Mytilus edulis: one gene and its partners. The protein of the gene in region 3 interacts with the protein of the main gene of each other region in a pairwise test. Links are inferred from orthologs where the notes say so. Each region holds a gene or a part of one and is shown on either strand. Other genes may lie near its edges. The genes, in order: catenin beta-like; alpha-adducin-like; membrane-associated guanylate kinase, WW and PDZ domain-containing protein 1-like.

Region 1 (8,497 bases), on a different chromosome or scaffold from region 3:
CATATCTTTATAAATTCATAACTTTTAGTTCACTCGCATGTGACCTCAAAGCCGGTTTCGTTAGATCTCCCACGCGACATATCAGAAACAGGAGCGATGAGAGATCGGTTTTTAATTAGATTGACGTTATCCCAATTACAATTATACAATATACAAACAAAGCAAGCTAGCTAACAAAAGTCTTACTTTACCAGCATTTGGAAATTATCTATCAAGTGGTCTTTAAGGAATAAATGAGATGAGGGACCCCAATCTAGACCCTCGTGAGAATCGCCTTACCCGTCACATATTTACAAGCTCACCTGTCACATATTTACAAGCTTACCCGTCACATATTTACAAGCTTACCCGTCACATGTTTACACGCAGCTTCAAGTCCAACTCCTGGTCCAAACCCGACCTCTAAAACATTGTGGTGTGGTTCAATCTGACACAGTTTTACAGCACTTTCTTCTAAAATCACATTTCGTCTCAAAAAGATATTCTGAATTTAAAATTTAAAAACAAAATTGTTGATGTGATTGGTGTCAAGATGTTAATAAGTTTCAAAATTTTCTTTTCATAACCTGATGGAAGATTTAAGATGTGAACAATACATCTGATAAAAATTAAGCAACCTATATTATTTTTCTCGTTTGAATTGGTTTACATTGTCATTTCTGGGCCTTTTATGGCTGACTATGCAGTATGGGGTTTGCTCATTGTTGAAGGCCGTACGGTGACCTATAGTTGTTAATGTATGTGTCATCTATGGGTTGGTGGTAAATAACCATATTCTAGGAACAATAAATATGATTTCCGTATTATCTCTGCTTTATTAAAATTGTAAACGTATGCATGGTGGTTCTGTGAAAGTTTCAGCCTTTAATTAAAAGGAATTGTGTTTATCTATAGCGTGCAATCATAAGAAAATAAGAAATACCACACCTCTTGATGTGCTTAGTACATAATGCAGTAATTTTGGACATGTCCAAAACGCACGGCTTCCGTTACGTTTTAAATTCAGTTTGGATATTATGTCTGAATTCGAGGTTTTACCATACATGCAAAAATGTAAAAAAATCATTTAAATACAGTAAAATGGGTATAATTATTCATAAAACTTCGAAGCGTGATAGCATCCTTGTTAATACAGGAAGCAGTTACAAAGCAATAGACCACTTTCGAGTTCATCCGTCACCGGAAAAAACTCGTCAATTATACGCGCCTTTATCACCGTCATTTTTGCGTTTAGGGGCGTCGTCACTTCCTTCCAATGTTGAGCGAGTGGTTGGAAAACTATAATTCTATATTGTACGAATTATTCGGCAAATTGAATTCTCAAAATTGACAATCAACACTGCTGTCATTAGGGAATTGTCAGTAAGTACCTACAGAGCAACCATTATTTCTAGGTTATCCTGCACAAAGACGATCACTAAGACGCTTGATGAACGTAAATAGTGCAGGGATACAGGCGAGCCCCTCTATCTGGTAAGTGACGTCATAAAGGCGTGCATAATTGACGAGTTTTTGCCGGTGACGGATGAACTCGAAAGTGGTCTATTCGATTCATTTCATATTGAAGTACTGTCAATTTGTATTGCAGCATTCTGATGTACTATAGTATATATTAAGACAAATATTTACCTTCGTAACATACCAACCAAAGAAGCCACTTCCAGGTTTCCGCAGATTCTGTGCTAAATATTCTCTAAAGATATTAGTCATCCTCCTGAATATATGAAAGTATATAGATAGATATAAGAAGATGTGGTATGAATGCCAATGAGACAACTCTCCATCCAAGTCAAGATTTGTGAAAGTAAACCATTATAGGTCAAAGTACGACCTTCAACACGGAGCCTTTGCTCACACAGAAGAGCTCAGCAAGCTATTTAGGGTCCCAAATATTACCAGTGTAAATCCATTCAAACGGGAAAATTAATGGTCTAATTTATATTAAAAACGAGAAACGTGAAACAGTTATATATGAACCACATCCAGGGGCGGATCCAGCCATTTTAAAAAGTGGGGGTTCCCAACCCAGGACAAAGGGGGGGGGGGGGGGGGGGGGGGGTCCAACTATATGTTCCCATTCAAATGCATTGATCGACCAAAGAAAAGGGGGGTTCCAACCCCCGGACCCCCCCCCCCCTGGATCCGCCAATGACATCAACAAACTAAAACTACTGCACATCAGATTCTTGAACATAGTTATCAGAATAAAAATAAAGAAATTTGTTGAGGTTTTCAAAGGGATTAAAATTTGCCAATGTGCACAAGTACAATGTGCTTATCAAGGGTTTGAGGTATGTAGGGGGGGTTCTGAGACAAGTGCCTGTGTTTGAGGAAAGGGAGGCGCAATTTTCCGAAAAAGTTATTACCAAGGGTAAGCCGTTTACACCCCCTGAATCCTCCACTGATGTCATAATACCATTATCGTCAGCAAATAAAATGTACAAAAACAGTGCCTACTAGTTATCATGAGTAATGAAATAACAGTACTGTAACTGAAGAGTTCTCGCCGTCAATTAGCAATTTGATGGTAGCAAATGCAATTGGACTGCATTTTGATTTTCTGTAGAGGAAGTAGGGATTTTAAAAATGATTGGATTGGCCTGGTCACACTAGAAAAACATAATTTTGATGATGTAACTAGATGCTCTTAAGAGCCTGTGTAGCTCGCCTGTCACGTGCATCTTCAACAATGGATATTCTACAAAACTGTACACGAACAAAGTTAATGATTGAACTCTCTTTTTTAAGGGGAAAAAGGGGGATATCGTGTTGGTGATCATTATTTTTCTGTTTACACTATCTCCCTTTCTTCTGTAGTCCCCCTCCCCAAACACAAAACAAATGGTAAAAAAAAATGTCCTTTATAGGCAACAACTTTTATGACTGACACTTCTTTCTTAATGCGGATCTTGTATTGCTTGTCAGCTTAGTATTTTAATGTTTCGAAGCATCTATTATAATGCGAAAGTAATAGAATGAAATTCAAAACAGCGTGGCTGTGGCCATTGATTGACACATTAAATTCATCCATTGACCGGGACAATTTACGTGAACGTTTGTATGTAACGACCACTGTTCACGACGTACCTACGATAGACTTTTAAACTGTGGGGTCACCAAAGGTTTCTTAACGCCTTTAATTATAAAATAATTCGAAAAATTAATCAGGAATAACCTTTATGTTTTGATTTATATAATTGATATAAATCAAAACATCGTGTTATTTCTGATTAATTTTTCGAATTACTTAATTAAGGCGTTGAGAACCTTTGGTGACCCCATAGTTTAAGTGTCTTTAAAAAGTACATAGTCAGTGGCGGATCCAGAAATTTTCATATGTGGGGGCCCACTGACTGACCTAAGAGGGGGCCCGCTCCAGTCACGCTTCAGTGATTCCCTATATAAGCAACCAAATTTTTCCCAAAAAGGGGGGGCCCGGGCCCCCCCTAAATCCGCCTCTGATAGTGAGCAGTGGTCGTTACATACAAACGTTCACCTAAATTGTCCCAGTCAATGGATGAATTTAATGTGTCAATCAATGGCCACAGCCACACTGTTTTGAATTTCATTCTATATAACGCCAAAAACTGTTATTGAAAGTCATCATTGTCAAGAGCAATAACTACAATAAGGAATCGACTGCATGACAATTTCATCCATTTGGCATGTTCGACACATTTGAAGTATCTTTTTCGTGTTGATTATTTCTGCTATTAAAAGCGTCTAGTATTTATCTACTATAGTTTTTATGATATAAACTGGCAATCGCACATAAACATTGATAAAATTAATTTCGGGGGAGCAAGATTTTGATGGTCAAGGGCATTACTACCCTTATGAAAGTTCATTATTCAGAATATGAATAAAATTTCTATCAAACCATCGTAACCGACATATATTTTTTTCTTTTATTGGAGGAAAAGGAACGACAAGGATTATGTTTTTTTTCCTGAAAAATATTCTGATCCCCCAATTGGATGAAAAAAAATTCTGGTCAAGCAGATAACAAAAAAAATATTCTGAATGCAGATTTCCCCTATACCTAAAATATACAGTCATTGTGTTGAATTTTGGAGAGAAAAAAATTACCCAGAAAATAACATATACCTCCTCCTTTTTAACTCTTTTAGAAGTTAAATGGTTGTTCCCTCACAAGACAACATAACTTTATTGATTCACATTCTGTGCATTTTCAAAATATTTTGACTTTGCACCCGACTATTTTTATATAATAAAACAAATCAAGGATTTGTACAAATCCCGAAGTTGAACAAATCAATAATCATGCTGTATAAAAACCAAACTAATTTTACTCGAGGGTCAAACAAAATACAAAAAAAACCCAATAATTCTATTTTTTTTAATTTTTTTTATTGTTATGGGTGTTATTTTATTTTATTGTAACAGTAATATGTGTTCAATTGTAACAAACCGTGATGCATGAGGAAAACATGGAAAGAGTATTTCTAAACAATGCGGATGAATTCGACTGTTAACCTTTTATTTAATATTGCAGTCATATCTAGTATTTCCTTATTGTAAAAATCATGAGAATAATAAAATAAAATATTTTTCATGTATATTAATTCAATTTTTAAAGAGAAAGACAAATATTACATGACCATAGAACTATTTTTTAATGTATAATTTGGCCTACAGGTAAATAGGTCAAGTAACAGGTGCTTGTTTAAGAGCGCATGCGTGACAGATTAAATTGAATCGCCATCTTGGAATTTGAATGATTCAGTTCTGCTGTAATGTGAAGTTAATTTCAAGCATTCAAAGATTGTGTTTGTAAACTGAGTATTTCGAAAGCCACCTTTGGTTCAAGGCGGCAGTTATTTTCGGTAGGTACTAAGTAAAGGTATACAACAGGCCAATATTCCCTTTGTGACCTATATTTTCTCGAACCAAGTTATTCTCCTTTGTTGACGGTTGGGTGTTCAAATACAACGGCTTACTCTCTGCAATACAATAAATAATACCGGTAGTTGCATAGTTGCACAAACTTGGGGTCGATGGAAAATACCCGTAGTAACCACAATATAAGGTTTGCTACTTGCATGAAAATAATTTCAAAAAGGGGGAAGTGACAAGTGGACGAAAATTTATGATACATGCGAAGTATGACGCATGAAATTACCGGCGTCAGAAATTTTATAGCTGGTGCTTTATGGTCAAACCTTTGGTCCTGTTCAACTAAAAATCGTGACTAGAACAAGGTTTTTAGAGCATGGCAGGTACAAGTCTAAATAATGATGAATGAAGTCTTGATAGGCTATTTTATGTTTTTGCTTTTGCCCTGGCTTTGACTATCTTGTTAAATAAAGTTTAAATTTTCTTTTGAATTTCAACTGAAAGAATGAGCGTTGTGAAGTTGCAGGAAGGCGTCAAAGCAAAAAATAAAATTGTTTTTAATAAATTTATTTGGACTAGGCTGGTTACCAGGTACTAACTATAGTCACCGTCAGCTGAAATTCGTAGCGGTTATCGGTAAAAATAATCTAAACTATCAATCGCGTTCACTCGAGATATAGTTTTTCACATTCCATTCATAAATCGCAAAAAGAAAAACCACTCTCGATCGATGTTCAATGATCATTTTATTTCTAAAAATATGACAGTTTGAAACGAATTTACCTTGCAAGCAACATTTTTCACTTTCAATTAAAATAAATCACTTCTCGTTATCTTTAATCAAAGTTTATTTTAATTTTTTCAACTACAAATACTCTCATTCATAATTTTCATCGTAAATATCTTTAGCAATGTGTATTCAATTCCCAGTGATTTTCCAACCCTCATTTTGGGGCCGAATTTCGGCCCCATTCCCAAAGAGAAATATGCTCTTTTTTTCCCAATTTTCAGCTCTAAAATTCCCAATCGTATATGGACATCGTCGCGAGATTTTGTTATTGTCGTATCTCCGTATCATGTACTATTTTGTTGACAAATCTCTGAGCGTTCGGGGTATTTCGGGAGTTATCATTATCGTTCACTTAAGACTATGATTGGTTTGCAATCTTTTTTGGATTGCATTGCATTGCAATCTACGATATTCTGGTCACGTTTGCGCTTGAAACATCCGAATGAATAATTCAATGACAAAGCAAAAAAATGAGACATAATGTAAACAAAATGAACGTAGATCATGTCTCATAATTCCAAATATTACACAAAGAAGCTAAAGGCGGCGGACGGTAGTAAATGCTGGAAGCTGAAAGCTTTTGGATTCAAAAAGTCGTTTCTACTTCCTTCTGATGAAACAAGTGAAAGAAGGAAAAGACCGACTCTCAGATACAGAACTGGAACAACTAGTTGACATGTTTAAAAATAAACATGAAGGAAAACTTGGAATTTTAAATAAAACTAAAAAATAAATGCTTCAGATTTCAAATGTGTCTTTTTAGAATTTCTATAGATTCTCATCATTATAAATAGAATCAGAAGGGATAGGTTGAATTTTACCTTTCAAGAGTAAAGTTACAAAGCTTGAGTGCATGCAAATGTGTCCTCAGACACATTCAACTTTTATTTTTAATCCTTTTCCTTAAAAAGATAGCTTATTTTGTACGCAATTCATGCAGTTAATCCTTCTCAGAATGCAGGATTTTGCACCTAATTTTCAAAATTTTCCAAACCCCCCTAGCGAGGCGCACACGGCTTACGCCGTGTGCCCGCCCTCGTAAAGACCATTCATATTTTTCCCAAACCATAATTTTTTTCCCAATTGCATGGGCCCCAGGACCCTTCCCCTAAACACCAGGAAAATCACTGATTCCATCACGTGTATTGAACAGGTTCATTGGTCGTGTTTAAATAGATTCTTCTTTAGACCAATGAAAAAATTCGTTATATAAATAGTCAAGTAATCACACACACGATGCCTAACTTAAATAGAATGTATTTGCGATCTATTTCTTCAATTTCTGCACTGAAGTTTTTAATTTTTTTAATTTTTTCTAAAAATATCTATCTTCTTGATGATCATTTACGCTATTACATGATAACATAGTCCGATAAGGCTGAGATAAGCGTGGCTCAGGTAAAACTATATTATCAGATATTGCGTAACACTGAGTGACCTCTCAGCTGTGATCAGCATGTCAGCAACTTGACAATTTTAACAAATTTATAATGAAAATGTGAAAATTAACACGCTGCGGGATCAAGTAGTGAGGGACAGCAGCCAATTCAGACGCTGCGGGATTAACGAAAATATTATGAAGGCGCTGCGGTACCCCAGCATCATATCGGCCTGAGGAGAACACTGAGTTAATATGAATGTTTTGATATATCGTAACAGTTTCAGACAGGTATTGATTTCAAAGAATATAAAGCTGACTATTTTGTCGATAAAACTAGATATATGTAGCTGACATGATTTCAATTAAAGTAAGGTCACCAATTTCCTGGTATCAAATAATTTGATAAACCCAACAATGAAATGCCATATGACCTTTTACATTGAAGGGTTAAATTTGCATTAAGTCATGTTCAGACCCTTTAACAGAAAATAAAGGAATATGGAGAGAACGTGCACGGGGCCTGATCGCACTCAAAGTCGATGAAAAAAATACAAATTATCAATCCAAGTGGTCAAAGTTTTTATTTCTTTTCTTCATTTTGATAGTTGCTGGAGGGTCTTCAACAATAAAAGAATCATTAATACTGTTAAAACAAGGTCAAGATGGTCCCTAGTGTCAACTTAAGCAGTACAAGTACTGAAGGTATAATACTGCATTTATTTTTTTTTTATATTTTAATCTAGCCATAAAAAAAAATCACCCAAGTCTTAGCACAAGACAAGATAGACAGACAGATCCTGTATTTATGATTATGAGAATTACAATTTTTGCTTTATCCTACATATCAGTCTTTTAATGTTGTCCCTAAAATCTACAAGTCTTAAATTACAATGAATCAATGTTTTTGTTTTGAGACCAGAATATCATCGAAAAAATAGCTAAAAATTAATTATGTTTCAATTTAAGAAAGAGCCTAGGAAACGCTCAGAATGCACGATTTTGCGTTATTTCCTCAGAGCTTTCCCTTGAGCAACCCCCAGACCCCTCGCCAAAATTTTTTTGCCTCACTGCGCTCTGCGAATATATTTTACCTCACTATTAAAAGAGGCTAGTTAGGCCCTGTCCTCAAAGTTCTTTTGTTGGACCATACTCTTTCATGTATGAATTTAATTCCTTATTTGGAAGGAGAATGAACTAGTTCTTTTGATTATAATACTATACTTAAGCGGTAGTTTTATTACCAGAATATAATGTGAAACAAATATTAAAGCAAATTGGCATGAAAATGAGATTTTCTCTAATAAAATATTTTTCAACCTAAACCCGTATGATGGCTTATCTGCCATTTCAGTGTACACAAATGTACATTGTTGGTCATGTCTGGCAAATATAATCATTTCCAGACCCTTTGGCTGTATACAGTTACTGTACACTGTTACTATACAGACACATGTCATGTTTGTGTTTTT
Region 2 (8,434 bases), on a different chromosome or scaffold from region 3:
TTTAAGTGACATGCATATATATTCGATTTCCATCCACTAGGTTAATATAAAATTAATCTCATGATATAATTGTACATCTTTTGTTTCTTCCACCAAAAGACAAAAAAACTTGAAGAATACTATAAAAATCACTATATGTCCATTGAAGCTATATACATGTATATATATATACTATAATGTACTATGTACATGCATGTTTTTGTAACATGCATATATACTGGGTACATGAATATGAACTTATATATATAATGATACTATAGGTAAGGAACATTTAAACAGCATATCCTCTATATCATAATCTCAGAGAAATTTTGAACAGATAAGAATTAGTGGCATGTTTTGAAATGTTACATGTCATCACCAGTTCAAATAATCAAGTTGATAACTTTAATAATTAAATCAATATGAAATTAGTAACAAGATGATAAATGTAGTAACATATATAATTAATAGACTAAACACTATCTGTCTGATAAGAGAACAGAACTTCTTACTACCCCCAATAGAGATCACAACATATTAATGTACTGGTCATGATCAGTAGAATAAGAACAAAAAGAATTTCAACATGTTGATTTAATAGAAAATACTGCCTTATCAATTCCATCTCAAAAGAAAAATGTCTCCATGATGAAAGATATATGCTGTATCATACTGACCTAAAACAATATATGAATGTATGTACATTGTATGTTTGATTCATTTCCCTGCTAAAAATTGTTTTGCCATTTCAATTTTCTTGGGGTGGAAATTGGGTATTTAAAATGTACAAAAAAATATATAGTGATGAACCATTATTGAATTTTTTATCAAAATCTGAAGTTGATCAGTTGATATTTGGCCTTTTTCTGCTTCAAATTGACAACTACTACTGATAAGCATACAGTACAGTACATTCAATGCCAATGAATTACTATAAATTGTCCACAAAAATGTATACATGTACAAGTAGTTTAGAGAAAAAAAATCTAAATACTTTTTTTTTAAATTTACATAATTGAGAAATGAAAAAGTGTTACAATCATATATTTTTCAATGACAGAAAAATGAATTCTGTCAGACTCCTTTTGATCTGGTGAGCATGTGTTAAGCTGCAAGAGGAAGCTGTACAGAAATAATTTGGGAAGTTCCATGTCTACCAATATGGAGACAGACAGTGAGAAACTGTCTATGTGAAACCGCATATGTGTCAGACATATCCTTTCCTTGTCAAAATACTGAGATACTTGCAAGGACCAAATTTATGCATATGGTGCAAAAGAATAAGGGGCTGGGTACTGCATAAGTGAAAACTAAAAGACGAGTCTGGTTCAGCGTGTGATGTTGGGTGCCATATCCTACACCCAAACAACTCAACTATGCACATAAATTTCCCAGCAACCATCACATGTATGCCTCTCAATACAGACATCAGGTTTTGGCAACACAAATTATGCCAAGTACCTTCGAGTCAGGTGAAGGAAAAATCTACTTGATTTTATTTTAGCTTCAATAGAAAAACTTGCAAGCACTAAATATCCTGTTTTTAGTTTTGATAAATGAAGAAATTTAACAGAGAAAGTAAGCAATTGCAATACCTGCATAAAGTTAATCACTTAATGTTTGAATAAAAGTATTGTGGCAACAAAAATTAAACATTTAAATTTTTTGGGTGCAGAACTCACAAATTTCATGCATTTTCATTCATGTTTCCTGGAGGAGGTTTTGGCTTGCTACGACACCCTGAGGCTGACCTTTTAACGAAAATAAAAATTGGCTCCATGCCCCTTTTCCGTCATATTTTAAAACGCCTTACCGTAATTTTTAGCTTCATGTAAGTCTAGAAATGATAATTTTATTACTATAATGGATTTAAATTAAAAACGGAAAAGTATTACATGTAATAAGCAAGTATAAAACAATGGTATATTCAATTAAATCCTTACCATTACTGTGCCTTTATATCTTTGTAGAGAGTGCTCTTAAAAGTGTACAAATGTAATCCTCTGCGCAAAATGTACCCTTACAATGTATCCAATTGCGCAAAATGTACCCTTAAAATGTATCCAATTGCGCAAAGAGTGCATTCTGAGAAGAACTTTATCTGCCATTTTCAAAAGCTTCAGGAAACACTATTTATACATTTGTAAATTTCAGATGTCATATTTTCATTAATCTCGATGATTACAATATATGACATCAGTCTAAGATTTGCTTTTTTAATGAAGTCATTGTAAAAAAAATGAATAAGGAATGTTCAAATGAGGTATAAATGGTTAATCTACTGCATCTATCTATAATTTTGTGAATTTCCTAGGTTAGAACAGGGTGTGCACAGAATGTACTGTTGAATATGATTTATTTTTTAGGAAAGCCTCTAATTTCTTCTCTTTTTTTTATCAGTTTACCTTTTTATACTGTACTGTAGTGATCACATTTTGTACATGTTGTTCTTTCATAAAATTAAAATTTAAGTACTGCTAATGGTAATAATGGAAATTGCACTATCATTTTAAGTGCAACAAGAGTATTGGCTGTCATAGTGTGTGAGTAAATGACAATATATAATATATATTCCTATAAATTTGCTTGAATACTAAATCATTTAAAATTAAAACAATCTACTGAATCAGTATGCAATTTTGCATGGATAACATTTGTGATTTGTATAGATTCATATGCCCTATGAATGCGCCCTTTAATTAGGAATAAATACATTTGATAAGATATGAATACTTTGTCAGAACTTTCTGATGTTTTGATGTTGCATTTGATAACATCCGACCTTGACAGTTGCAAAATATGGCGACAGAAAACATATAATTTGATTTTTTTCCCGTAGCTTCTGAACATTTTAACTTCAATGACAATGTTAACGAAACTATCTTCGCATATAACAGTTCTGTTGTAGTGTACACAAATGTATTGCCCATTATTTGACAGTAGACGGACAAGTTTACAAGTAAGCGCTGTTACCGTCTTCACCGGCAGCAGAAGCCGGTCGGACATTACAAATTATCTTTTGATGAGTTGAACAGGGGCGTGCTTTCATAAAGTGGTTATTGACGTTCAATTACTTACCTTTGTTTCTGCTACGAAAATTATTTGATCGTTCGTATGAAAGACTACAATCCCCGCCAATTTTATATTGGCCCCTTTGAACACAGACAAGGCTTTCCCCGATATGCAAATGAGTTGTTTCTAAAATTAGTTCCACTGGCTATTCCATCTTTTGAATACACCCGTTGTTATCTCAAGTGAATGTTCTGAATGTTTTGATAAAAGCAAGCATGGACTGTAAATTATACACTGCATGGGACACTAATATTTTTTTTAAATAAATATTTTTTAATATAAACAAATGCGATATGCTTCAAAGTTATGGTATACACAACAACATACTTAAGAAAGAGGGAGGAAATTCACCGGAAATATGCACCAGCTACCTGAATAATGACATCACTCACATTTTTGTCTGTAAAGGGAAATCATTCATACTCCAAGTTTGAATAGGCGCAAAATTTAAAATGATTTATTATTTGGAAATTACACCATATATGGGTCAATAAAAAAAAATCTTCTCAGGTTTTTTTTTTTATTTAGCCTATGATAAGGTAAGATATTTTTATTCCAATTAAAGGGCCCATGAATAATAGCAAAGTAATTTATTACAATGATTTTTTTATAATTGACACAATAATGGCGGGGGGGGGGGGGGGGGGGGGGGGGGGGACAATAATACCCTGTTGTGACCCTTTTCAAGGTTTTGTTAACTGTTATCTGAGGTAAATTTAAGCTGTAAACTGATTTTCAACCCACTTTGTTAACTGTTAACAGCATTTTTGTATTTGTAAACAGCCAGATCAGATCCACACACATATTAGAAAAAAAGGCATAAGGGGACGACCATTTGATATGGGGGGGGGGGGGGGGGGTCACTCAGCCTTGATAATCCCAAAAATAAATGGTTTGTTCTGTGATAGTTTGCAAATAAATTACCTGACTTGAAATGTATTAAAAATAAATAAATCAGCAGGTATAATCGAAAGATGGCACCAGATTCTTCATAAATTCATCTTTTTTCCCCCAAAACACTTCCCTATTTTTTTTAATAATAGAGGAATAAATATTATCTAAATAGACTTGAAATGTCTGAAAATTGGTTTCATTTAACTGGAGGTATATTGTATCAGGAAACCTTACCTCACTTTTATTTTATTACAGGGCCGTAACTACATTGAGGCAAATGCCTCATGTAGGAAATTTCAAAACCAAACTCTTGTCTCCATATCAAATTGGGTTCACGGCGAGTGCCTTGCAAGAAGCAAGTTCTGTTTTCCCTCAGACTTACATTTGTAGCCCTGCTTTTTCGGGATCAATAATTCTTATTTATTTGTCTTTTGTTCATTGATTGCCCTTCTGTATTCTGTTAGTGTTGCATTCCTTTTGTAATCTAGTAATTTTGTTCTGAACTTGAACATGAATTTAAAAAAAAACAGCAGCCACAGACTTAATTATGTGAATTTCATTTTTGCTTTATCATGCACATTGGTCTTTTGATGTTGTCCCTAGAAACTTAAGTCTTACACTGATTATTTTTGCTTTGAGACCAACATATTGTCAAAAAATTATTAAAACAAAACTTGCATTTTCAGATTAAGAAAGGGTCTTCGGAACACCCAGAAAGCATAATTTTGCATCATTTGTTCTAGTGCTGGTAGATTAGAAAGACTTGTATATTACAGTCGACCATTTTACTGTATGGCTATTGACACCGTAGCTATTTATAAGAGTACAGTTATATACTAGTACTACACTATATGTTGTATGTACTATATATTTACTACGTTTATTCATACATTCATTCATAATTCATTCATTCATTCATTGACGGACAATTAGAAAAAGACTTTACTCTATATACTACTCTGCACGAAGTTATTATGCATGCAACCCCGCCACTTTTTCTAGCACTATATATACGGCGAACTCGGACTAATGCGAGTTTCACACACTTTAGCACACACGCTACATAAGGGACACCTAACTTTTTCCCTACTTTCAGGTAAGCACATTTTCTTTTAGGCCTTATCATGCATGTACTTCTATCCAATTCATAGTTCAATTTATAAGGAAATTTCAAGTTAACATTTGAAATAAATGTTTATTATAATTATGTACTTTCAGTGTGAAATACATGGTTTGCAACATTATATTTCGTCACATATTCAACGCCCTATTTACGAAGATCAAGTGGCCATATTACCCTATGACACTATAAATATTATACAAAAGAGTATGATACGCATACTAATCCTGCTTCTATTTGAAGCGTACGGATACGTTTGAATCATTGTTTATGTTGCAGTTTACTTTGCGATCCCCGTTAAAATGCTGTTGTTTTAATGAAAAGTCACGTCGGTAAAATATAAATACATGTATTCATGAGTGAATTATAAAATGTCTGTTAAAACATTAGTTTGTACTGTACATTGTAGGAATATAAAACGTGTATTCGTACTCGCTCTAGAAAGCTCTGCAAACACTGCCATTATCTGGCATTTAAATTAAAGCTGTCACAAATAAATGGCGCATATTCCGACAATAAAAGAATTTTGTATTTGTAATTTTCAATGACGATTGTATGGGAGGTTGTAACATTAGTATGAACGCGGCAAGCAGATTAGCTACATCCAAATATTCAATATGCTTCGAATTGTTAAAAATTCATTTGACCTGAAATATAATATTTGCAAAACATAAATTACCTTTATAGCAATTAATAATTGGTCGGACTTGTTAATTTAGAAACAATCACTTCAGCCTACCGATAAATTGTAAAGCCTATATGTTATACCTTAGCATAATAGCTTTTGCAAAAAGACTTTTTAAACCTCGATTTTTTAATACATCGAATCTTACCCTTTGGACCATCGCACTTTAGCGTGATACACCATCGTACTTTAGCGAACAAAAACAGTCGCACTTTAGCGTGAGACACCATCGTACTTTTAAAACACATGGTATGGGTAAAATCTCTTTGTTCTTACTGTGCTATAATCTGGATAATGCACAGCAAAGGTGTACCTCAGATATACTGCACAGTTCAAATCTATTTTAACCTTTAGGGGAGGTTCCTAGATTTTGAAAGGGGCGTTATTCTATCAAATTAAAAAAAAATATATCACCGAGCGTCGCGAGACTAAAAACAATATTGACGATTTTAAGGCAAAACACGATAATTTGTCCAATCCTAGGGTGAACGACATGTTCGTCCCCACCCCCGAATCCGCCATCTGCCTTGAAATTACGACAAAACTGAACTTTGTACAAACATCGTAGTTTCAGAATAGGAAAAAAAAAGGTTTCTCATTCCTTTTTTTCATCTTAGCTTGAACATAAAATGTTTCAGTATTATATTTTGCGTACAACATAAATCTTAAATCAGTGTTTTAAAGTCAGAAAGAAAGTTAAAACAATTTTTGGTAACTTCCGCCAAAAAAGAAATGTATCTAAGAATATCCGAATAAAAGAAATCTGATTTGGACTAGTTTTAGATTCAATGGATTTTATAACGACTTCTTACACGGTGGGTATGGTTGTCCTGCGAGAGAACGTACTGTGCTGGTGATTTGGTCCTGACGGGTGCTGGTGGGTCCTGATTCTGTGCTGGTGGGTTTGTTTACATTGTATCAGAACGGCAATAAAACGACTGTTTTGTTGCTTAATTTTTCTCTGATGTGTCATAAGTACCATGCAAAGTATATTACAACAATATTATATTGCAAAAGTCGTGCAAGTTCGTTAAACGGAATTGTCCTGACGCTGTGCTGGTGATAAGAAAAACGGTCCTGGTGCTGTGCTCCTATGTCCTGGTTCTGTGCTTTTATATTTTGTTAAAAGTGGCATATATTCAAGAGCATTGATGCTGTACTGTTGTTGACTAATTAGCTGTTGTCTGCTTTCTTGAAATTGACATTGTTGTGAATCTGTTTACTGTTATTATGAGAGAAAAAATACCCCTATTTAAAAAAAAAAAAAAATGAAATTAACTGTAATCTTATTTATTGGCCTGTTAATGGAACCCTTCTTGCCCCCTTTTAAGATAAGAAAATATGTTTACGATTTTCGGGATTACGATCATTTTGCAAGATCACCAAAATACGTTGTAATTTATACAATACTTAATATAATGTAGATGATGTGGTATGTTTGTTGTCAATGGACAAATTTCCATAAGAAACCAAAGGAAGTATGTGTTAACAACCATACGTCATCGTACGACCTTCAACAATAACCCATAAAATAAAAATGTGAAAGGTTTTGCATAAATATAGAACAAAGGACTTTCTGAGCGTTTGAATCATGTCTTTAGCAGCTTAAAACACATTTGTTTGTGAACAATTGAGTGTTGACTATAAGAATGACAATAGTATTGCGGGTTTGTTTGTTTGGTGTTTTTTTTGGGGGAGGGTGGGGGAGGGAGGGGGATAAGTTAGAGCGAGGTTACAGTGAAAGCTTGGAATAGTTTCCCGTAAAATTTTAAAGGTGGGTTGTAAAAGAAAAATGTATCTTATATTAGCCTTGGTCACACCTTACCGGATAGCTCGAACGGACGCCTAACAGATAACTTTTTCTCAATCCGTTCATGTCCGTTGGACGTCCGTTCTTATCCGTTAGGCGTCCGTCCATATCCGTTGCATGTCCGTTAAGCGTCCGTTTTATCCGTTGACGTCCGTTCTGTCCGGTGGAAAATTTTGAGCATGTTCAAACTTTGAACGGACGTCCAACGGATAAAATGTCCGTTGAACGTCCGTTAGGCATCCGTTTTGTACGGTACTCGTCCGTTTTGTATCCGTTATGCATCCGTTGGAGATCCGGTAGACCAATTCACCAACGGATGTCTACCGGACGCCTAACGGATAAAACGGATATTAACGGAAGGATAACGGATAAAACGGATGACTACCGGATGTAAAATGGACAAATGCCAATTGAAATTTCTCATGGTTTATTGCCTTTAATTTTTAGATGGTTTATTGCCTTTAATTTTCAGATTATTTTGTTCATCCGTTTTATCCGTTACGCTTCCATAGCGGTGTCTGTTTTATCCGGTACTCGTCCGTTGGATGTACGTTCGACGTCCATTCTGTCCGTTACGTATCCGTTTCACGTACGTTCAGTGTCCGTTGTGTGTCCGTTTGGCATTCGTTACATGTTCGTTAGTACACCAACGGACTCCCAACAGATACAAATTTTGTCAACGGATAACTTTTTTTTTATCCGTTAGGCGTCCGTTCGAGCTATCCGGTAAGGTGTGACCGAGGCTATAGCTATTAAGAATCACGCTGTAAGATTTTTCCAAAATATTTTTTTTTGTCTAAGCGGTTATCAGGTATTTGTTTTTCGAAAATTCGATAAAACACTAAAAAAATCACTATTTTATATGAAAGGG
Region 3 (8,568 bases):
AATTCAAGTGACATTTGCCTGTATCAGTCGATCTCCACTGAGTCTAATGCCAGCGATGGTACATCTCCTTAAAAAAAATGTTGAAATAAAAGTGAGATGTTACGGTGAAAATTCAGATGCAAATTGTTTAAGTATGCATGCTTATATTTTATCTGGACCTGGCTCTGTCAGGCTTTTTAATTTAGATCAAGAAAGTTTTTTAAAAGTTTTTCAGATACCATTTTTCTGACATCATATTGATAGTTGTCTAGCAATTTATATTAATAAATGTTTTGAACTGTGGAGAAAGCTATCAATATAGTACAGATATTGCTTTATCAAGTTAACACGTTGAGAATATTTGCCTGTTAATAATTGATTGATTGATTGATTTTTGGAGTTTTAACGGCGCCACTTCAGAGCACCGCATTATATCAGGGTATTCCCCGAATTAACAGAATATGTAATAAATGTTCTTCCAATACTGTCGAAGATGAGGCTCATTTTCTATTTGATTGTAACAAATTTGAGGATGATAGAAATTGTATGTTAGCTAGTATTGCACAATATAATTCTTATTTTAATCATATGAACAGTCAAAGCAAAATTATCTGGTTATTTAGTGTAGAAAATGTTGAGTTACTTAAAATAATATGTAATTTTATATACAAACATCTTCCTTAGTGAAGATTAGTTAAAGGAAATCTATGTGTGTATATACATTTGATTGGACATAGAAAATTATATTCATCTGAATATCACAAACATACTAGCCGATTAAAAAAAAAATAATAATTGTTAAGATATATTATTTATTCAAATGTTCTCTTATATCCTTGAGGCATCGTCCCCTGGTATCAACTGCATTCAAGTTACCTATGATGCTTCCTTGTTTGCTTTTGATACAGGTAGGAAAGAGACATTTACACACATTTTACATGCCTATGGCCCATAAGGTATCGTCCCCTGGTGTCAGCTGCCTTTAGGAAACCATAATGCTTTCCTATTTGCTGCTGACACAGGATGAGTCATGGACATGTTTAATTTCTACTTTCTTTTTGGCTAATTATTATATATTTAATTGATCCAACTTTTTGTGTACTATACATATGTGGATATCTATTTTTCTTTTCTTTTTTTCTTTTTGGGCTGCTTGTTTGTTATCTATATCAACCACACTTGTAATAAAATGCATTAGTATTAAAAAAAACCAACATACTATAGATTCTTTATCTACGTATTCTTTAAGAACTTAAATAGTTCTCGTTTAACTTTTTTTTTTTTTTATCTCATTGTTATTGTATTATGATGTAATTATTGATGTTGTAATGTTTATGCCCTTTGGGGCCCATAATTGGAAATAAAAATATCTTATCTATCTATCTTATCTTATCTTGTTTTAGGCTATTTCGTGGGTGCCAGTTGTTATTGATGGAGGAAGCCGGGGTGCCCGTAAAAAACCCACCGACCTTCGATAGGGAAACTGACAATCCTAGTCAATTCAGATCGGAGTCGAGTGCACCCGCATGAGCGGGGTTCTGAACTCACAACCTCAATTTTGACTGGCTAGTGATTACAGTAGTAACTACTTAGCATATAAGGCACAAAATGTGCACCATAATTTAGTTACCTTGTTTTGTAACCCCCATTGACATAATGGTTACATTGGTTACATTGGATACACTCATGAGGCTTGTTTAGGGGGGGTATCAATATCCCATATCCCATTAAGTTTTTATCCCAATATCCCTTATCCCTATAATGTTTACCCCTAATATCCCAATAAATATTTTTTACAAATATCCCATATCCCTAAAACTATTTTGAAATATCCCAAAAAATCATTATAAATTCATTCCCAAGCCCATTTTTTTCCTCATCATCACAACGTCAACAATTTTGACTGGGAAAACAGTGCATACTTCCAGTGTTAAATAAGAATATATGTGTCCAAAAGATGAAGTGTTCCATCTTAGAGCCTTGTATAACAATATCTTTTTATGTGATCTTAAACGATAAATTTATTGTAAGGGGTCTAATTTCAGACTTTTTTTTTAATTGTTCAAACCGTGATGCATATGACTGTAAAATTTCATTTTGATAGCATTCTTCTTTCATTGATAAGAAACTTCATCCTACACGTTAACCTATGTTGGAAAGAACAGAAGGACTCAACCCTGTCTCTTCAGGGGCGGATCCAGCCATTTTAAAAAGGGGGGGTTCAAATACAATGATTGTCCAAAAAAAAGGGGGGTTCCAACCCCCGGAACCCCCCCCCCCCCCTCTGGATCCGCGCCTGCTCTTGTCCGAGATTGCTCTGACATCCAACGGCTGTTTTGCCAGACAAGCTGAGACTGGGACGTCCGAGCACGTCCATAAAAAAAGTGGATATTAAGCATGCAAGTTCAATAACTCAAAATTTAACACAAGAAAGCTTTCTGCTAATGTACCTACATTACACTTAACTATTTTTACAGCAGGCAAAATTTGCACAGCCCTTGTTTTGCAAAGAAATGACACAACATTTGACTCTGTGATCTTGAACTTTATGAATTACATAGATCCCAATATTTTTGTTACTTTTTTTTAATTTCCTTCCTCACAACACCAGTAATAGAAAGAAAATATATTAATTTACAATGATTATTTAGTAATTATTCGTTATTAACATAGTTTATACGGCGAAATATCTAATTTTTGATATGGGACGTGCTCTGACGTCCCTCGGCCCCAGCTTGTCTGGCAAAACAGCCGTTGCACATCAGAGCAATCTGTGAAACGTGGAGACCTCTGAAGATCCTCGCCACGTAAAAAATAAGAGGTAAAACACTAGAAAATATCCTATAATCATATAAAGCATCAAAACAAATAAAAACATTGACAACAATAAGGCTTAACTCATCAGATGGATACATCTAACAACAAGAGGCTGTCACAACGACAGCAAACCGGATTTATTAACATTTATTTGTGTCCTGGCAATACCACAAGAACCATTACTGATGAATGGTGAAAGTGAAAATCGTTAATATCAAATTTGACCTCCATTTTGTCATCAGTATCAACATATTAAAATTTGAAAAGCTTAGATTGAATGGTTCATGAGTAAATGCAATAAAGTGAATGGAAATGCCATTTTACGATCTTTCAAGAACCATAACTCCTGAACAGTAAAAGTCAAAATCGTCATTATTAAACTTGACCTCTATTTTGTCATCAGTAACAACATATAAAAATTGCAAAAGCTTTGGTTGAATGGTTCATGAGAAAATGCACGGACACGACTGGAAACACCATTTTTCAATCTTTCAAGAACCAGAACTCCTGAACGGTAAAAGTCAAAATCGCCATTATTGAACTTGACCTTCATTTAGTTGTCAGTAACAACATATTAAAATTTGGGAAGCTTTGGTAGAACAGTTCACGCGTAAATGCACGGACAACATTTGATTGCCGCCTGCCCGCCGTACATCCCCAAATCAATAACCGACATTTTTGTCACAAAAATCCGGTTAAAAATCTATGATTATTTCAAGACAATTATCAATGCATATGAGCATATAATATAAAAAAAAGATGTGGTATGATTGCCAATGAGACAACTCTTCACAAGAGACCATGTGACACAGAAATTAACAACTATAAGGTCACCGTACGACCTTCAACAATGAGCAAAGCTCATACCGCATAGTTAGCTATAAAAGGTCCTGAAATGACAAATGTAGAACAATTTAAACGAGAAAACTAACGGCCTAATTTATGTATAAAAAAATGAACAAAAAACAAATAAGTAACACAGCAACAAACGACAACCACTGAATTAAAGACTCCTGACTTTGGACAGACACATACATACAAAATGTGGCGAGGTTAAACATGTTAGCGGGATACCAACCCTCCCCTTAACCTGGGACAGTGGTGTAACAGTTCAACATAAAAACGAACTATACAAATCAGTTGAAAAAGGCTTAACTCATCAGATGGATACAAATAGAAATACATCTAACAAAAACAGAGAGTGGACGTCACAGAGTACTTGTACATCCCATCAACAAAAAGACACCAAGTACAGATCTGAGAGTACTCGCAGTTACTGACAGCCAGTTCAAAGCCAATTACAACTAATAAAAAGTAATGCATCTGAGACTAAATTATCAATCATTACACATCCAGCATCCAATGGCACGGTAAACAACATCTCCGTAAAAATGAGGATGTGCTATCCCGTTTGAAATAAGTTTTCTACAGGTAGAACCAAACTTCAAAACCAAATCTAGAATTTAGTAAAGATTTTAAGTGATTTGTGGTAACGAAATCCCTGACTTAATAATATACCAGTAATACATAGATTTCGTTCATTAAAATCCAAAACATTACAACAGACACGGGCATAGCGGAGGAGTTGTGATATACAAACACCGTAAGATAGTGCCAAAGGAACATCACCATCCAAAAAAGGAAAATTAACAATAAGGAACAAAGTATGGAAAGCAAAACAAATACTTTTAAAATTATCAGTACATATGAGCATATAAATATCGAAAATAGATCAATACTTTTCGCTTGGGTTTGGATTACTTTAACATAAAACGACCATAAATTCACTTAAAATCAACAAAGCACTAAAATTACCTTTAATATTAAACTTTTTTGGGCAATTTCATCAAGTGATATGTATATATTTCTGTACTTAACTTTTAAATTCCACTTATTGTTTTTTCATGTTAAAAATTCAATATCCTTATAAATGCATCAATATCCCATATCCCATTTACTTTTAGGACAAATATCCCATATCCCTAAAATTAAAATGGCAAATATTCCATATCCCAATATACCCTATACAAGCCTCACTCATACAAACTATCATATATCAACATTATTGTAGCTCTTCGTGGGCCCTTTAATTGGAATAAAAATATCTTATCTGATCTTATTAGGGTTAGAGTCTAGTGCCTCTTAAAATTACCCCCCTCTTCCCCCACCTTTGACTAATAGACAATAGGATGTATTTACGTGAAAATGCACAAACCAAATACGCATGCAATGAAATCGGAAATGTATCGAATATTATAATTCCTTTCGTTTTTACGACATTAATTGACAATTAGAACGATTTATGGCGTGTCAACCTTTAGCGCATGCGTATAACGAATGCATCATCGACTGTGTTTGAAAATAGGGCGGAATGTGAATGTTTTTATAAGATAATTTACCATTGTTTTGCATATTTTACATTAGAAACACATGCAAGAGTTCAGAAACATCAATTAACTATACAATGGCATGAACAGGCAAGTGCGGAGATGTCCAGATCGGACGCAATAATAACAAAAACTCCGACAACTTTCCGAGTGGATTGCGTTGGTCAGTGTCCTCAAATGTCATTTTTATGTGTTTTCCATCGGTTAAAATCATCAGATGTTGTTAAATCTCAAACTGCACCAATCACTATCATATAATGTCACACAATAAACAAGATATTGTACGACATCCACCGGTTGCACCCCCTCCTAAGCCCCAAAAGGATCATAATCAACAAAAACATTGGAGTCAAAGAATACAGGAAACGGTTGTTTCAGCTTTACCTGAAGGGGAATTTGGAATACATCTCAAAGGTGGAGCAGATAATGGACAGTTTTGTTATATATCTGAACTTAAATTATCCCAGTTAACTTTCCATAATGGAAAATTATATGTTGATGATATTATTCTTGAAATTCAAGGACAGAAAATTGCTGGATATACTCTGAGAGATGCAACAATATGGTTAAAGCAAGTTGGTCAAAATGGAGCACCCATAATGGTGAAAACTGTAAAAATTGGTGAGTAAAGAGAACATGAAGTTTACACAATCATGTAGGTTACTAGCTGCCAAAATTCATTACTTCCCCACAGAAAATTCACTTATAATTATTCCAATCCATTAGTTTCTTGACAAACAATGATGACAATCATGAATCTTCTAGGCAAAACGATGTGTTTGGGACTCAGGGTATACAATCAGGACACTTCCTAGGGACTCACATGCACAGATTAAAAAAATTAGGTGTCCAGCTCGATTTTCATGCGTCTAGGACGTGTTTTTGTTAATAATCAAACAAGTACATTGTATATATACTCATATGGTCTGGAACAGATAGATACATTGTACATGTACATACATTTTGTATGTAAGTTTTCACTTAACAAGTTTAAATTGGGGGAGTTAGCAGACCTTTGTTATACATTTATTTATATTCATTATGCATGTAATTGAATTAAAGTCAGAGTGTAAGTACCAAATCACTAAACATTAATGGGCCCCAGGGGCGGATCCAACCATTTTAAAAAGGGGGTTCACAACCCAGGATAATGGGGGGGTTCCAACCATATGTCCCCATTCAAATGCATTGATCGGCCAAAAAAAAGGTGGGTTCCAACCCCTGGAACCCTCCCCCTGGATCCGCCACTGGGCCCACCTTTTCACCAAATCTCTCCAGTTAAAAAAAATTTGCCCCACTTTCAAAAAAAACTTCCCACACTGGTTTCCTAACTTGTCCCACTTACGAAAAAGGGTTAATTCCCATTAACTAACTCTTTCCAGCTTGCCCATTTTGCCCAAATTATGAAAATGGGTAAAATCCCAATGAATATAAATATAATAAAGGTCTGCTAACACCCCCAACTTAGATGAAAACTTATCGTTCTTCCCTGCGCCTATATCACCCTGCTCAGTCGCTTCATAATTCTGGTGTCACAGCTTTGAGACAAGATCAGGCATTATCAATGAATGTCTGAGGAGAAGTTATCAGCGACATCACAATGTGAGAGGAGACGTTATCCTCCTTCCCTACGCTTATACATGTATCACCCTGCTCTGTCGCTCCTTAATTCTCGTATCAAAAGGAGACCAGGCATTATCAGCGATGTCCCACTGTGAGAGGAGAAGTTATCAGTGACGTCACAATGTGAGGGGAGACATTATCAAGCTTGCTTTTGTGAAGCTTACAGGGAAAAGACCAGTAATAGAACAATAAAAAGATAATCAGGTTTTCTTCTTATAGATATCGTAAAATATCAGCCGCTCATGAACATACTGTGAAACTTTTTAGCTCGTTCGATGTGCTCACTCGCCAAAAAGGTTCACATTGTGGATCGCGGCTGATATTTTACGATATCAATGTGTAGAAAACCCGATAATCTATACTTTATATCAAGCTTGCTTTTTCATGAAGCGTAAAACTGTCTTAGGGAGGTGGAAAGATCAGAAATAGAACGATACACAGATAATCAGATGTTCTTTAATTTGTTTACAAAATGTAGATACATGTATCATAAAATATCAGATGCTCGACACAATGTGCAGCTTTTTAGCTCATTTGCTGCGCTCACTTGCAAAAAAGTTCACATTGTGGCTTGTGATTGATAATTCACCATATCAATGTGTAGAAAACTTGTTAATCTTTACTCATCTATACAGAATAAAAAAATAGTGGCAGATACTAATAAACATGATAAATAATGAAAATTTGATATATGATTTTGATTGACAACTGAAGTACAAAAAAAATGTATCTTGAATGTACAATGTAATAAATGTAAAAACATTGTGTGCACTTTACCAAAAGTAACATATATACATTTGTACATGTATATATATGCTCAGTTGTACATGTACATGAAGTTGGTGTTCTTATAAAAAAAGTATTACATGTACAGATAATCAGGTCTTTTTTGTATCTGTCTGTCAAATGAATATTCATACCATGAATGCATGTACAAAATGTAACTAGCAATTGTTTAGCTCATTAATTAGTAATTATATAAGTGACTTTAATAAGTCCAGTTTAAACTAAGGTGTAGGTCTACACTGTAGTGAAGTGTCATTATACATGTACAAAATGTACAGCTTCTATCATCATTGATACTTTATAATTTATGTATTATTTATATAAGAATATCTTTATAAAATATTGATGTTAGTTTATACTGCAAGAGTAAAACATTTTTAAAAGATGACAAATCAATATTACCCGAATCCTTGATTGATTACTGATTACCTGTTAATTAATCATCACCTGTAATCACCTTATTTATACACAGAAAAATGATGACTTCACTCAATACTGTGAATTATTATTGTTCAGAAGAAGGAGTGATCTTTTGTTACTAATGAGCATGCATATATATGGCACTAGCAGTGTACATGTACATTATTATGTAACATAGATATAAGAATTAAAGATGTGGTATGAGTGCCAATGAGACAACTTCTCTCCATCCAAGACACAATTTATTTTAAAAGACTAATACATTTTAAAAAGTAAACCATTATACATTTGTAGGTCAAAGTATGGTCTTCAACACAAAGCCTTAGTTGCTCAATGTTAAGTTTTTGTGTTTTGGTCGGTTTTTCATAATATAAACTATAACAAACTGTAATATGTCAACTATATTTGTTGTATGGAAGGATTGTTAGCTGTATATGTATGTCTGGCAGGTATCACCTGACCTTGACCTCATTTTGATGGTTCACGATCAATGTTATGTTTTCATGGTTAAGTTTGTTTCTCAGATACTATAAGCAATAGGTCAACTATAATTAAT

What was found.
Region 1: the proteins of membrane-associated guanylate kinase, WW and PDZ domain-containing protein 1-like (region 3) and catenin beta-like interact in a two-hybrid assay, tested with the Caenorhabditis elegans proteins (2 studies listed by BioGRID, with this or other methods). The link is inferred for Mytilus edulis from reciprocal best matches to the Caenorhabditis elegans genes magi-1 and hmp-2.
Region 2: the proteins of membrane-associated guanylate kinase, WW and PDZ domain-containing protein 1-like (region 3) and alpha-adducin-like interact in a two-hybrid assay, tested with the Caenorhabditis elegans proteins (2 studies listed by BioGRID). The link is inferred for Mytilus edulis from reciprocal best matches to the Caenorhabditis elegans genes magi-1 and add-1.

What each region holds. Positions count from the first base shown.
Region 1 is NC_092357.1:59,222,710-59,231,206, reverse strand, and holds the start of catenin beta-like, read left to right. Parts: upstream 1-4,638; 5' UTR 4,639-4,847; intron 4,848-8,497. Other genes in the region: uncharacterized methyltransferase YdaC-like, read right to left, coding at 349-484, 1,630-1,710. UniProt on the Caenorhabditis elegans protein: Required for cell migration during body enclosure and cell shape changes during body elongation. Plays a role in recruitment of the cadherin protein hmr-1 to adherens junctions.
Region 2 is NC_092347.1:57,417,529-57,425,962, reverse strand, and holds the start of alpha-adducin-like, read right to left. Parts: upstream 3,393-8,434; 5' UTR 3,061-3,392; intron 1-3,060. UniProt on the Caenorhabditis elegans protein: Membrane-cytoskeleton-associated protein that promotes the assembly of the spectrin-actin network. Plays a role in time-dependent memmory loss and the retention of conditioned behavior over time.
Region 3 is NC_092344.1:29,414,202-29,422,769, reverse strand, and holds the start of membrane-associated guanylate kinase, WW and PDZ domain-containing protein 1-like, read left to right. Parts: upstream 1-5,115; 5' UTR 5,116-5,440; coding exon 5,441-5,804; intron 5,805-8,568.